Linked DNA regions of Callithrix jacchus. The protein of the gene in region 3 purifies or fractionates together with the protein of the main gene of each other region. This does not show direct contact. Links are inferred from orthologs where the notes say so. Each region holds a gene or a part of one and is shown on either strand. Other genes may lie near its edges.

Region 1 (3,645 bases), on a different chromosome or scaffold from region 3:
CAGGGCCCCCTTCAACACCCCACTGCCTGCACTCCGACAGCCCTTCTGTAACTGCAAACGGCTGGGAATGACTAAGACACCTTGTTCCTCTGACATGACAGAGGCCAAAGCCCCCAGACAACATTCCCGCTCCCTCCAATCCACAACCAACCAACCAATTCTTCTAGCTCTCTGGATACACAGCAGTGGTGAGACCCCCGCACACCCACCTTCTTGGCAGAAAGGGCCAGTTTTTTGGCTGGCGGAGGAGACATGGTGCTCGGTGGCTCGGCAGCAGCACTGCTCAGGACAGGAGACTTCAGTTTTACCGTCTTCGGGTCCACTCCATTGGGCGGCATTTTGGAGTGACCAGCAGTGCAACAATTTCTTTCCTGAGAATCGCAGAGACGGGCAGCTCCACTCCTGGAGGCCTGCGGGACCTTGGAGGAGTCACTGCTGACAGAGTGCTCTGGGCTGGAGCTGCTGGAGCCCCTCCTCTCGAGGCCAGCGCTCTCGTCGTTCCCCTTCAACCCATGCCCGTTGGCAGTGGCTGCAGCCCGGAGCTTAGGTGAGGTAGAGAGGACACCATCCCTGCTGTCCCAGGAGCCCTGACTTTGGATCCCAGATCTGCTGCTACTCGAGTTGCTGGTAGCAGGTGGCCCCTGAGCAGTTCTGGGGGACGGGGAAGAGGGCTGTGGAGGAGCTGGCTTCTTCACCTTCTTCCCAGGGTCATCTAGGAGGGTCGGCATGTGTGTGGGTGTCTGGGAGAGTTTAGGGGAAGGGGACCCTGAGGACAGCTTTGGAAGAACATAGCCGTTCTGGGACTTCAGGCCCACCATGGGGCCACTCCTGGAAACAGGCACCCCAATCTCGTCAGTGGTGTGCAGCTTCTTCATCGTCCCGGAGTCTTGTCGCTGAAGGAGAGCAAAGCAGAAAACACAACTGAGGAAGTCCCAGCTGGGCCACGCTTTCACAAGGCCACAGCGTATCTCAGTAGCAGGCATGACCTCTGACTGGCAAGTTCAAGATAAACTATTTATGTGGACACTTGGTAAAGACACTTTGGCTTCTCTGAACAATTCTGGTGTTTCGTGACACCCCAAAGAACTGGGACTACAGGCGTGTGCCACCACACCAGGCAAATTTTTGTATTTTTGGCAGAGATGGGGTTTTGCCACGTTGACCAGGCTCATCTCGAATTCCTGACCTCAAGCAATCCATCTGCCTCAGCCTCTAGAAGTGCTGGGATTACAGGTGTGAACCACCACACCTGACCTGAATATATATCTTCATGGCCATCTTTACTATGAAAGCAGTACATTTTCCAAGATTTGAGAAAGAGAACTAAGTATAAGGGAAAACAATTTAGCAAAGTTCTACCACTTAAACACAACCATGCATCCACGCACTAGTGCTTTCTTCTGGTCTTTTCTTCCGAATGGCTCTGGCCTGCAGAGTTACATCCCAGTTTTATCTTAATGCTATTATCGCAAGCATTTTTATAGACTATAACTCTCAATAAATGTGTTTAAGACAGGGTCTTGCTCTGTCGCCCAGGCTGCAGCCTCAACCTTCTGGACTCCAGAGATCCTCCCACGTCAGCTGCCCAAGTAGTTGTGACTATCGGGAGTAGGCCACCACACCGGAATACTTTTTATTTATTTTGTAGAGATGGGGGTCTTCCTATGTTGCCCTGGCTGGCACCCTCGAACTCCTGAGCTCAAGCAGTCCTTCCATCCTGGCCTCTCAAAAGTACTGGGATTACAGCCCTGAGCAATGCAACCTGACTGCAGGCCCGTCTTTCATGTTTTACTGGCAACCATCTCACTGTATGGTTAATTTATATAAGCTATAGTCTCCAACTGTTGAAATTAACAATACAGTACAGTGTATGTGTGTCTATCTGTTATCCTTCAGAGCACATATTACAACTGCATGGAAGTAACTTGTTATTCTCCGTGCAGATGCTGAAGGCCCGCCTCCCCTGCTTTACCATGAGGCTGTACCTGTGCCTCTTCTGTTCCTGCTGCAGCCCTCACCAGCAACTCAACGGTCTGGTATGCAGTCAGTGCTTAAAAAATATTTTTTTGAGCTTTTCCTGTGCTTAGTACGCCATGCTAATTTTCCAGAAATGGAATTACGAGGCTATGAATATTTTCATGAAACCTGATGTGTACTGCCAAACTGCATTGACTATACTCCAGCAACATACATTTTGCAAAACATTTGCTGATCTGACACTGCTTTGGCCATGACCACTTTAACATTCGTATTCTCTGCACATGCACTAGGGTGATCGTCATTTAAATGCGTTCTTGTGTTTACAAATGCTAACCTTTTGTCCAAAATATTTAAAAGGTGTTATTGTTTCATTTGTATTTGTAATAATTTATGTACAAAAATGTCAATCTTAATCAATTTGTAATTTTTCTATATTTTCTCCTTCAGTTTTAAGCATATAAAGTCTTCTTCCCTCTCCCAGAGGTTTAATAAGAACATACTTCTATTTTCTCCTGAGTTTTGTTTTGCTCATTATATTCTTTATTAATGTCTTCTAAAAGGAATTCATCTTTCCATGGCACTGCAAAGCCTTTTCACTAGCTGGACATTTCTGTACACATCAGGACTTGCACCATGTCATTTAGAGTAAAACGACTCTTGTTCAATTGCAGTGTATTTGGAAAATGACATTTGTCATGAAAATGCTAATGGTCAGGGAGTAGCACTGCAGATGTGCCTGACACAGGGACTCTCCTGAAGCAGACCTTCCGCCTCGGGCATCACTCTGCCTGTGGAGTTACTGTGACACATGAGGTTTCCTTTGTACTTTTTTTGAGACAGGGTGTCATTCTGTTGTCCAGGCTGAAGTGCAGTGGCACAACGATGGCTCACTACAGCCTTGACCTCCTGTGCTTAAGCAATCCTCCTGCCTCAACCTCCCAAGCAGCTGGGACCACAGATATGCACCAACACACCTGGCTAATTTTTGTACTTTTCTTGGAGATGGGGGTCTTTCTATGTTGCCCAGACTGCTTCTTTTTTTTTTTTTTGAGATGGAGTCCCGCTCTGTCACCCAGACTGGAGTGCAGTGGCATGATGTCAGCTCACTGTAACCTCCACCTCTCAGGTTCAAGTGATTCTCCTACCCCAGCCTCTTGAGTAGCTCGGATTACAGGTGTGCGCCACCACGCCTAGCTAATTTTTGCATTTTTAGTAGAGATAGGGTCTCACCATGTTGGCCAAGCTGGTCTTGAACTCCTGACCGCAAATGATCCATCCGCCTTGGCCTCCCAAAGTGCTGGGATTCCAGGTGTGAGCCACAGTGCCTGGCCTCCCTTTTCTTTTTTTTTTTGAGACAAGGTCTCACTCTGTCACCTTGCCTGGAGTTCACCAGCGTGATCATGGCTCACTGCCGAGAGCCTCAAACTCCCAGGCTCACGTGATCCTCCCACATCAGCTCACTGAATATTCTCTGTGGAGATGGTGATCTGTGTTGTACAGGCTGCTTTTTAAATCTGTTTTGAGACAGGGTCTCTTTCTGTTGCCCAGGCTGGTGTAGAGTGGTGTGACTCACTGCAGCCTTAATCTCTGGCTCAAGTGATCCTCCCACCTCAGCCTCCTGAGTAGCTGGGACTATAAGCACATGCCACCACACCTGGCTAACTT
Region 2 (4,295 bases), on a different chromosome or scaffold from region 3:
TCCCAGCTACTTGGGAGGCTGAGGCAGGAGAATCACTTGGACCTGGGAGGCGGAAGTTACAGTAATCTGAGATTGCACCACTGCCCTCTAGCCTGGGTGATAAAGTGAGATTCCATTTCAAAGTAAATAAATAAATAGAAAGAAAACCAAAAAACAAAACCAAGAATGATTCTAGACTAAAGGATTTAAAAAGACATGACAAATTCAGTGGATGATTCTTAATGGTAGCCTGAATTAGGAAAAAAAGAAAATCAGCTACAAGTGATATTACTGGGATATTTTGCAAAATCGAATATGGCCTGTGTGTTACAGATGATTACATTGAATTAGTATGGAAGTTTCTTGGAGTGATCATGGAATTCTGATTATGTAGGAGATTACCTTTGTTCTTAGTAGATATGTATTGATATTTAGGGATAAAGGGTAACTGCAAAAACTCAAATGATTCAGCAAAAATAAACCATACACACAGACAGATAGCATATGTGGCAGAATGTTAAAAATTGGTGGCCGGTGTGGTGGCTCACGTCTGTAATCCCAGCACTCTGGGAGGCAGAAGAGGGTAGATCACGAGGTCAGGAGATGGAGACCATCCTGGCTAACACTGTGAAACCCCATATCTACTAAAAATACAAAAAATTAGCCGGGCAATGTTGGGGTGCGCCTGTAGTCCCAGCTACTCAAGAGGCTCAGGTAGGAGAATCGCTTGAACCCAGGAGAGAGGCAGGTTACACTGAGCCAAGTTTGTGCCACTGCATTCCAGCTGGGCGACAGAGTGAGACTCCATCTCAAAAATAAAAATAAAAATTGGTGAATATGGGTTAATTTGACTGTTGATTATATTTTCCTTGTAACTTTTCTATAGGGTTTGATATTTTTGAAAATAAAAAGTTAAGGGCTCTTCAAAATCCAAGCGGCCTTTTCCATTCTGTCTGGTTTAACATCCTTACAGTAAGCCACCTTGTCAGTTAAAGATACAGTTGTGTAACTAAAGAAGTTAATGGTCAGGATGTGTATCTTCCAAAAACTATTGTAATTATTTACATAAAGAAGAGAACATTGCAGTTATCTTTTTGTGCCACTATAAACTTGATTCAGATCTTTTGTAGGCAGCCTGGTAAGGTGGAGTTTGGGGCCAGCCAGGGCTGAATTTCGATCCTGGCTGGTTAAACTGTTTAGCCTCGTTGTGACTCAGTTTCCTTATTGCAGGATGCAGAAAATAACTACTTGGTGTGATTGTTGTTTTGAATTGTTATACACATGGTGTTTACGGAACCGGGCTTCAATTTATGTGCAAGACTTTTATCCTACTTTGAATGCTCTCCGTATCTTTTCCTTCATTACACTCGTACAATCCTGAAGGGCAGGTAGAGGTGAGAGAGAAAACGACTTCTCCAAGGTCACACTGCGAATCGCGGACTCAGGTTTCCCAGCTTTTGGTCGGGTGCCCTTACCACGCCCGCCAGAAAGGAGGAAGCGGCGCTCATGGGGATGCAAGGATGTAGAGGAGCAAAAGGAGAGAAGAGGCCGCGGGAAGAGAGGTGGTGCGAGACTCGCGGAGGCGCCGGCCAAGGAAGGGCGCATGGAGAGGCGGGCGGCGCGACCGGCCGGGGTGCGGAGAGAGGCCGCTGCGGGGAGGGAGGGTCCCGCGGGCAGGGTGCCCGGGAGAGGCGGGCGGCCTGGGCCAGCCGCAGGGGCGCAGGAAGCGGAGGCCCGGGCTGCGGGCTGGGGCCGGGGAGGCCGAGCGCCAGCGCGGCCATGGGCCGCGGCCACTCCTGCACAGGTGGGTGGGGCGGGGGCGCGGGGCTAGCGGCGCGGGGGTCCCGACCCCCGCGGCCTGCGGGTGGGGGCGGGGAGGGGGCGGGGCCGGCCGGGGGCGGGTCTTGCTGGGCCCCCGCGGGAGCGGCGGCGGCGGCGGCGCAGGCGCGGTTCCCGCCTCCTCCCGGCCGGCGGAGCGAGTGGAGGCTGGAGCCCGGCTCGTCTCGGCGCCCGCGTCGCCGCCGCCGCCGCCGCGAAGCCCCCCGCCCCGCTTCCGCCGCGTCGGAATGAGCTCCCGGAAAGGTGAGTGGCCAGCGGCGCGCCCACTCCTCGCCACGCGGCCAGGCCGGGTGGGCGGCCCGACCGTTAATGTGTGTCTTCTCTTCCCCCAGTGCTGGCCATTCAGGCCCGAAAGCGGAGGCCGAAAAGAGAGAAACATCCGAAAAAGTGAGTCCACGCTGCGCCTGTCCCCGGTCCCCACGCCCGCCCCGTTGGGGGCGCCCGCGGCCGCGCAGGGGAAAGTTGCCCGGGTTCCCGGGCCGGCTGGCGGGCTGGTCCCCTGGGACGCCGGCGCTCGGCTCCTGCGCCCCGCGGGCGGCCCGGGGGGAGGGGCGGCGGCGGGGGAGGGGCGCGCGGGCTGCGGCCGGAGCCCGAGCATCCCGGAGCCTTGACCCCGCGGCTTCCCGCCCCGGGTCGCCGCTGACGGGCGGGAGACCGGCGGGGAGGCGCCGGGCGGGGCGTGCGCACCCCTCCCCTGAGCGCCGAGCGGGCCTGGGGGTCGCGGCCCTTCCCGGGAGGGGCCCCGAGGTCCGCCGCCCGCCGCCCGGCTCCGGCGCGCCGGGTGCTGGCGTGCGGCGGCTGCGCGGCTCCCACCTGAGACGCGGGCGGAGGAGGCGGAGGGGCCGAGTGTGCGCGAGGGCGTGTGTCTCGCCTCCCCTTCCTCCCCGGACCCCGCCTGTCGGCCTTTCTGCTGAGAACCAGAGCTGGTTGTCAAGTGGTTCGCCGCGGGCGTGTTCCTGGCGCGAGTTCAGCCCCGAGACCTGTGCGATTCGGCTCTCGGGTTTGGATTCGAAACTTTCCGCTCGGGTCGATCGTGACTTGGGTGCGTGGCGGGAGCCTGGGTCGCGGGCTGCGCAGGGCGGTGGGCGTGTGCGCGGGGCGGGGGCGGGGGCTGGGGCATGGGGCGGGAGCCCGGCAGGGTGGAAAACGCGCCCGCGCGGGCCACCTCCAGCCTGGCCGCGCACCCGAGCCTGGCGGCAGCTGCCCAAGCGAGAAGCCTTTCCTGGAGAGCTGCTCCGAGACCGCACAGCGCCGCCGCGTCGTCTTTTCCACTCCTCTCTCCTAATTTTTTTGATTTACCAGCGTTCAACATCGTTACTTCGTCCTCTAGATTAATTGCTTCGCTCTTCTGAGCAAGAATACTCTATGTGGCATCTTTGGTACTGTGGGGAACGAGAGTCCAGCATCATCTTTAATAAAATACGGAAACATTTTTGGTTGTTTGTTTCCTTTGAGGGGTACCTCGCAGCACTCTCAGGCTTTTTTCCCCTTCTTGTTGGCCTTGGTCCCTCCCTGGAGAATTTCATAGCCATGGTTGGCTTCTAGGAAAACCGGCTAAGTCATTATTAAGTTATAGGACGACAGGACTTTGTTCATTTAAAAGGAACATATTTGAAAGTATTTTTAGGGCTTCACAGAATGTGGAGAGTGAAATAAAAATACCTGTCTTAAAAAAAGAGTAAGGGGAAAGGACTAAGGACATGAAGAACTAAATTGGTGAGTAAAAATTGGATGTTGAATTTGTAAGATATTAAAACGGAATGGATTTTTGGTAGTTTTAGATGCTTTTAAAAAAATTAATGCTAGTTTTCAAGTGAATTAGAACCTTAAATTTGAGATTTCCTTTGGTGAACCATGGACGTTTACCCAGTGGTAAGGAGAACTGTTATGTTTAGGATTCTGAATGAGTACTGGGTTTTAATCACAGCTTTCAATTCAAAGAATTGATTTAATTCCACGTAGTGTGTTATATTCAGAAACATAAAAAGAAGTGGAAATGGTATGACCCCAGTGTCAGAGATGGCTGTATGTGCATGTATGTACAAACAGACCATGTATGTGTGCATGTTACCTATGCATACATGTAGAACAGTTCTAATTAAGTCAGTATGTGTTTTTTATTTGCATATATTAGGTTATGATTTTCCTAATGGCCAAGGGCCTTTCTGGTGGGCCACAGTTTGGTATGTGGTATGTTTATGAAGACTTGGTGAATAGCCAGCCACAGTACTCAGCTTTTACTCTCATAGATTAATGTGCTGCTTTCTCCCACTGTGTGTTGTGTACATGTGATAGAATTTGAGGCTGCTAGGTAACGGGACCAGCCCAATTATATAACTGATTGAGGCAATACTATTTTTCACAAGACGTTATTTTTCATTTTATTTATTTATTTTGAAACAGAGTTTCACTCTTGTTGCCCAGGCTGGAGTGCAATGGCCCGATCTCGGCTCATTGCGACTTCTGCATCCAGGTTT
Region 3 (3,645 bases):
CACTCAAGCAAGCACATTACCAGCTTTATTCTTCGCAAGTTTTTTGCTGCTTGCAGTTCCAGATCCGTAAGTCACACCATCAATGGTCACCGAAGCACCAAAAGGCTCACTTGGGTTCTCTTAAAATTAAAATTACTTGTTTTAAAACATATTAGTCAAGACATTAAAAGTGTGTGCATGATCTGCCCACGCCAACAGACAAGGTACAGTCAGGGACTGTCCCTGCAGAGAGTGAGCCTATGCTTGACTGTAGAGACCTGGGGCTCCCTGGGACTGGAGAAGGGTAGCAGACAGGCAGCAGCAAAGGGCACAGCTGGGAAAGTGGAGGGAAATGAGCACCTGGGAGATGGTCAGCCAGAAGGGCAGCAGGAGGCTAGGGGCAGAGCCGCCCGGGACAGTAACTGAAGTCTATGAAACATGGACACAGGGGTTGGGCGTGGTGGCTCACGCCTATAATACAAGCACTTTGGGAGCTTGAGGCAGGCAGATCACAAGGTCAAGAGATCGAGACCATCATGGACAACATGGTGAAACCCTGTCTCTATTAAAAATACAAAAATTAGCTGGGCATGGTGGCGCGCACCTGTAGTCCCAGCTACTCGGGAGGCTGAGGCAAGAGAAATCACTTGAACCCGGGAGGCAGAGGTTGCAGTGAGCCAAGATTGCGCCACTGCTCTCCAGCCTGGCAATAAGGCGAAACTCCATCTCAAAAAAAAAAAAAAAGATGGACACCAGACTGTCGGAGTGGGAAAGCACAAGATGTGGCCTGCCAAAAAAAACACCACCCAAAGAATGAGTGATCCCCAGGATCCAGCTTCCAAGGGGAAGAAGACTGGTCTTCACAAAGGTGTGGTAAGGGTGCCCAAGGAAGACAGAGCTGGTGGGAAATGCATGTCCAACAACCCTTCAGACACCTGTGGGCACCAGGCAATCAGGGAAAGGACACAGTGCACGGCGGGGAGGCCTTGCTCACAATAAGCCTGTCCATTTCCAAGCCTCAAGCAAGGCAGATGTGGCAGGATGCGGAAGGTGGGGAGAGGGGACAGACTGGAAGGGGAAAGTAGAGCCACCCACACAGGTGGGACAACGCTGAAGGAGATAAGCCACCCATCTGCAGCGCACTGCTCTTTACCCTTCCCTTCCCTCCCAACCCAGGAGAGTAGGGTTCGCGGTCAGCACCTGCCTCCCTAGTCCTGACTGAAGTGATGCCTTGTGATTCTTTAGGACTGAAATGGAGAAGGTCAAACTTACCACATTCAAAGAAATTATAGACAGGGCGGACCTTGAGGACACGCTGCATGTACTCGTGCAGGATGCAGACCTCAGATTTTCCGTTGGGGTTAATTACAAACTCTGTGACAAAAAGGACCATCTCAGCAAGTGTGAAGAAGTGCCACAAGCCAGCACACAGCTTCCTGTTACCATGTCAATAATTAGGGGCTTACCACCGTGAATGTGGCAGAGCCCTGTATTCATGGGATAAACATAAGCTCCGAATGAAATGCAACTCATAAAACATGCCCTCAACACATCACATTAGAAATAACAGCATAACCAATCTGCTGATGTTAAAATACAGAGGCTTATACCTTTCTTGGTGGGTGCATCTTGCACTGATAAAGTAATGAGCTTCTGATTGGCTGGCAAGATGGGCCTCTCGGACTCTGCCTGCTTCCGCTTCATTTCTCGATTAAATTGCCGCCGCTCAGCCCAAGTCCTGAATTTTTTCACAGTAACTTGCTCAAAGTCAAAACGCTTCTCCAGGTAGCTTCGAAATTCCTCAAGATCTGTCCCAGATTTACCAGAGAACCAAATTACTTAACGTCCAACATAGAAGTCAGGCTCTCAAAGCCCAGTGCCTGGGGCCCCAGGCCACACAACACTATTTCCCTTCCTTGTCCCTTTCAAAGGGGAGGGAAGCAAAGAACGAAGGCCTCCCTACACCAGCTTAGATGATTCTGGCAGGTCCCTTCTAGATGAATTTCTGAGATGTTCTTTTACTTTATTTGGGGCAAGAACAAGAATATAAAAATGAAAAGTAAAAAAGAAAGCTTAGAAAAGTCAGATGGCTGGCCGGGTGTGGTGGCTCACGCCTGTAATCCCAGCACTTTGGGGGGCCAAGGTGGGTGGATCACCTGAGGTCAGGAGTTCGAGACCAGCCTTACCAACATGGAGAAACCCCATCTTTAAAAAAAAAAAAATAATTAAAAATTAAAATAAATTTTAAAAAGTCAGATGGCCTTCAGGACTTCCTCCGTGTATCAAAACAGGTACCGGAATGCCAAGTGCCCGCTACCTCGCTGACAACCTCACTTTTTTCCCTCCAGCCGTCCTGGCCACCTCTATACTCAGCAACACAACCCAAGCAGCTCCCTGCACAGGGCCTCACATTTGTCACATTTCTTCCCAGGCCACTTCCCCATCCTCAGCAACAGCCCCCACCACATAGCTCTTCTAGGGCACCCCACATTCCACAGAGTTGTGAAGACAGGCTGGGTAGTGAGATGCAGACAACCAGAAACCCAGAAAATGGAAAGTGCTCTTTGAAAATAATCCAGCAGGCAGGCTCAGAGACCTGCCACCACTGAAGAGAGAACTTAGACTTGGATGGTGGGACTAGGCTAAAAGACATGAGAGAGAGAATGCAAAACACCACACACATTCAGCAAGCAACTGCAGGACTGAAGAGGGAACGGTCCATAGAATGGTTACAGTTTCCCAACACTGAGTCGCGGACTAAAGAGGCTCACTAAGCTCATCAAGATAAATCAAAACAATGCCACATGAGCACATCCTACTGAAAAAGCAAGACTTCGGGAAAGATCATATAAGCAACCAGTAAGAACAAGGCCCACTGACAGTGCCAGCAGCCATCTCCCTAGCAGCCTCAGCCATGTGGGCCCCACAGAGCCCAGGCACAGGAGCCTGGCGTGCTATACCCAGGCAGGTTCATGTAAGGGCAGGAAGACAGGCCTTCAACCACATAAAGAGTGGAGGTGTGCAGCCCCTTGCTCACAAGTATGACTAGGAACTGGCAACAATGATGGCCTTCATTAGAAAAATAAGGCTTATGGGTCCCAGAAGGCAAGAAGAGGACTCCGTAACAAAACTCACCAACAGATTCGTCTTTGCACACCTCGACTTTGGCCTTCACCTGCCCCAGGGCCCCAGGGGCTGCCTCAGCCCCTAGTGAATCTTTCTCATCTGGAGGCCCCGGGTCAGCACCCATAGAATCAGGCTCATCCAGGGGGAACTCCAGCTCTGCAGATCGGCTCAGGGGCTTGACAGGGGACACGTCCCCACTGGGGGTGAGGTCACTGCTTTGCTCTCGTTCCTCATTGTCCTTCATTTTCTTATAATGCAGACAAGGGATGCTACTCAGAGGAGGGTCGTGTTTCTGTGGATAGTGAAATTGCAACATGGATTACAAGGACAACCCGAGAGTCTAAAACTCTGATGCCTCTCACTGGCCTCTGCTTGGCTGCAGTGCCGTGTGTGTGGATGTGCACGTTTTGGTCTGAGAACTTACAAGCCTAAAGTCACAACTGATGCCTCCCCTACCCGTATGCTTCCCGTTCCCAAGAAGTATGGCCTGGACCAGGTGACCACCCGAGACTCTCTGTGTAGGTACACCGGGACTCCAGA

What was found.
Region 1: the proteins of DGCR8 (region 3) and USP36 purify together in Homo sapiens (affinity purification with western blotting; 3 studies listed by BioGRID, with this or other methods). This does not show direct contact. The link is inferred for Callithrix jacchus from reciprocal best matches to the Homo sapiens genes DGCR8 and USP36.
Region 2: the proteins of DGCR8 (region 3) and SRPK2 purify together in Homo sapiens (affinity purification with mass spectrometry; 3 studies listed by BioGRID and IntAct, with this or other methods). This does not show direct contact. The link is inferred for Callithrix jacchus from reciprocal best matches to the Homo sapiens genes DGCR8 and SRPK2.

What each region holds. Positions count from the first base shown.
Region 1 is NC_133506.1:134,566,863-134,570,507, forward strand, and holds part of USP36 (ubiquitin carboxyl-terminal hydrolase 36), read right to left. Parts: intron 894-3,645; coding exon 210-893; intron 1-209. UniProt on the Homo sapiens protein: Deubiquitinase essential for the regulation of nucleolar structure and function. Required for cell and organism viability.
Region 2 is NC_133512.1:75,770,788-75,775,082, reverse strand, and holds the start of SRPK2 (SRSF protein kinase 2), read left to right. Parts: upstream 1-1,485; coding exon 1,486-1,783; intron 1,784-1,927; exon of another isoform or gene 1,928-2,045; coding exon of another isoform or gene 2,046-2,061; intron 2,062-2,150; coding exon 2,151-2,205; intron 2,206-2,721; exon of another isoform or gene 2,722-2,860; intron 2,861-4,295. UniProt on the Homo sapiens protein: Serine/arginine-rich protein-specific kinase which specifically phosphorylates its substrates at serine residues located in regions rich in arginine/serine dipeptides, known as RS domains and is involved in the phosphorylation of SR splicing factors and the regulation of splicing.
Region 3 is NC_133502.1:211,864,624-211,868,268, reverse strand, and holds part of DGCR8 (microprocessor complex subunit DGCR8), read right to left. Parts: coding exon 3,562-3,645; intron 3,398-3,561; coding exon 3,115-3,397; intron 1,788-3,114; coding exon 1,590-1,787; intron 1,354-1,589; coding exon 1,252-1,353; intron 120-1,251; coding exon 21-119; intron 1-20.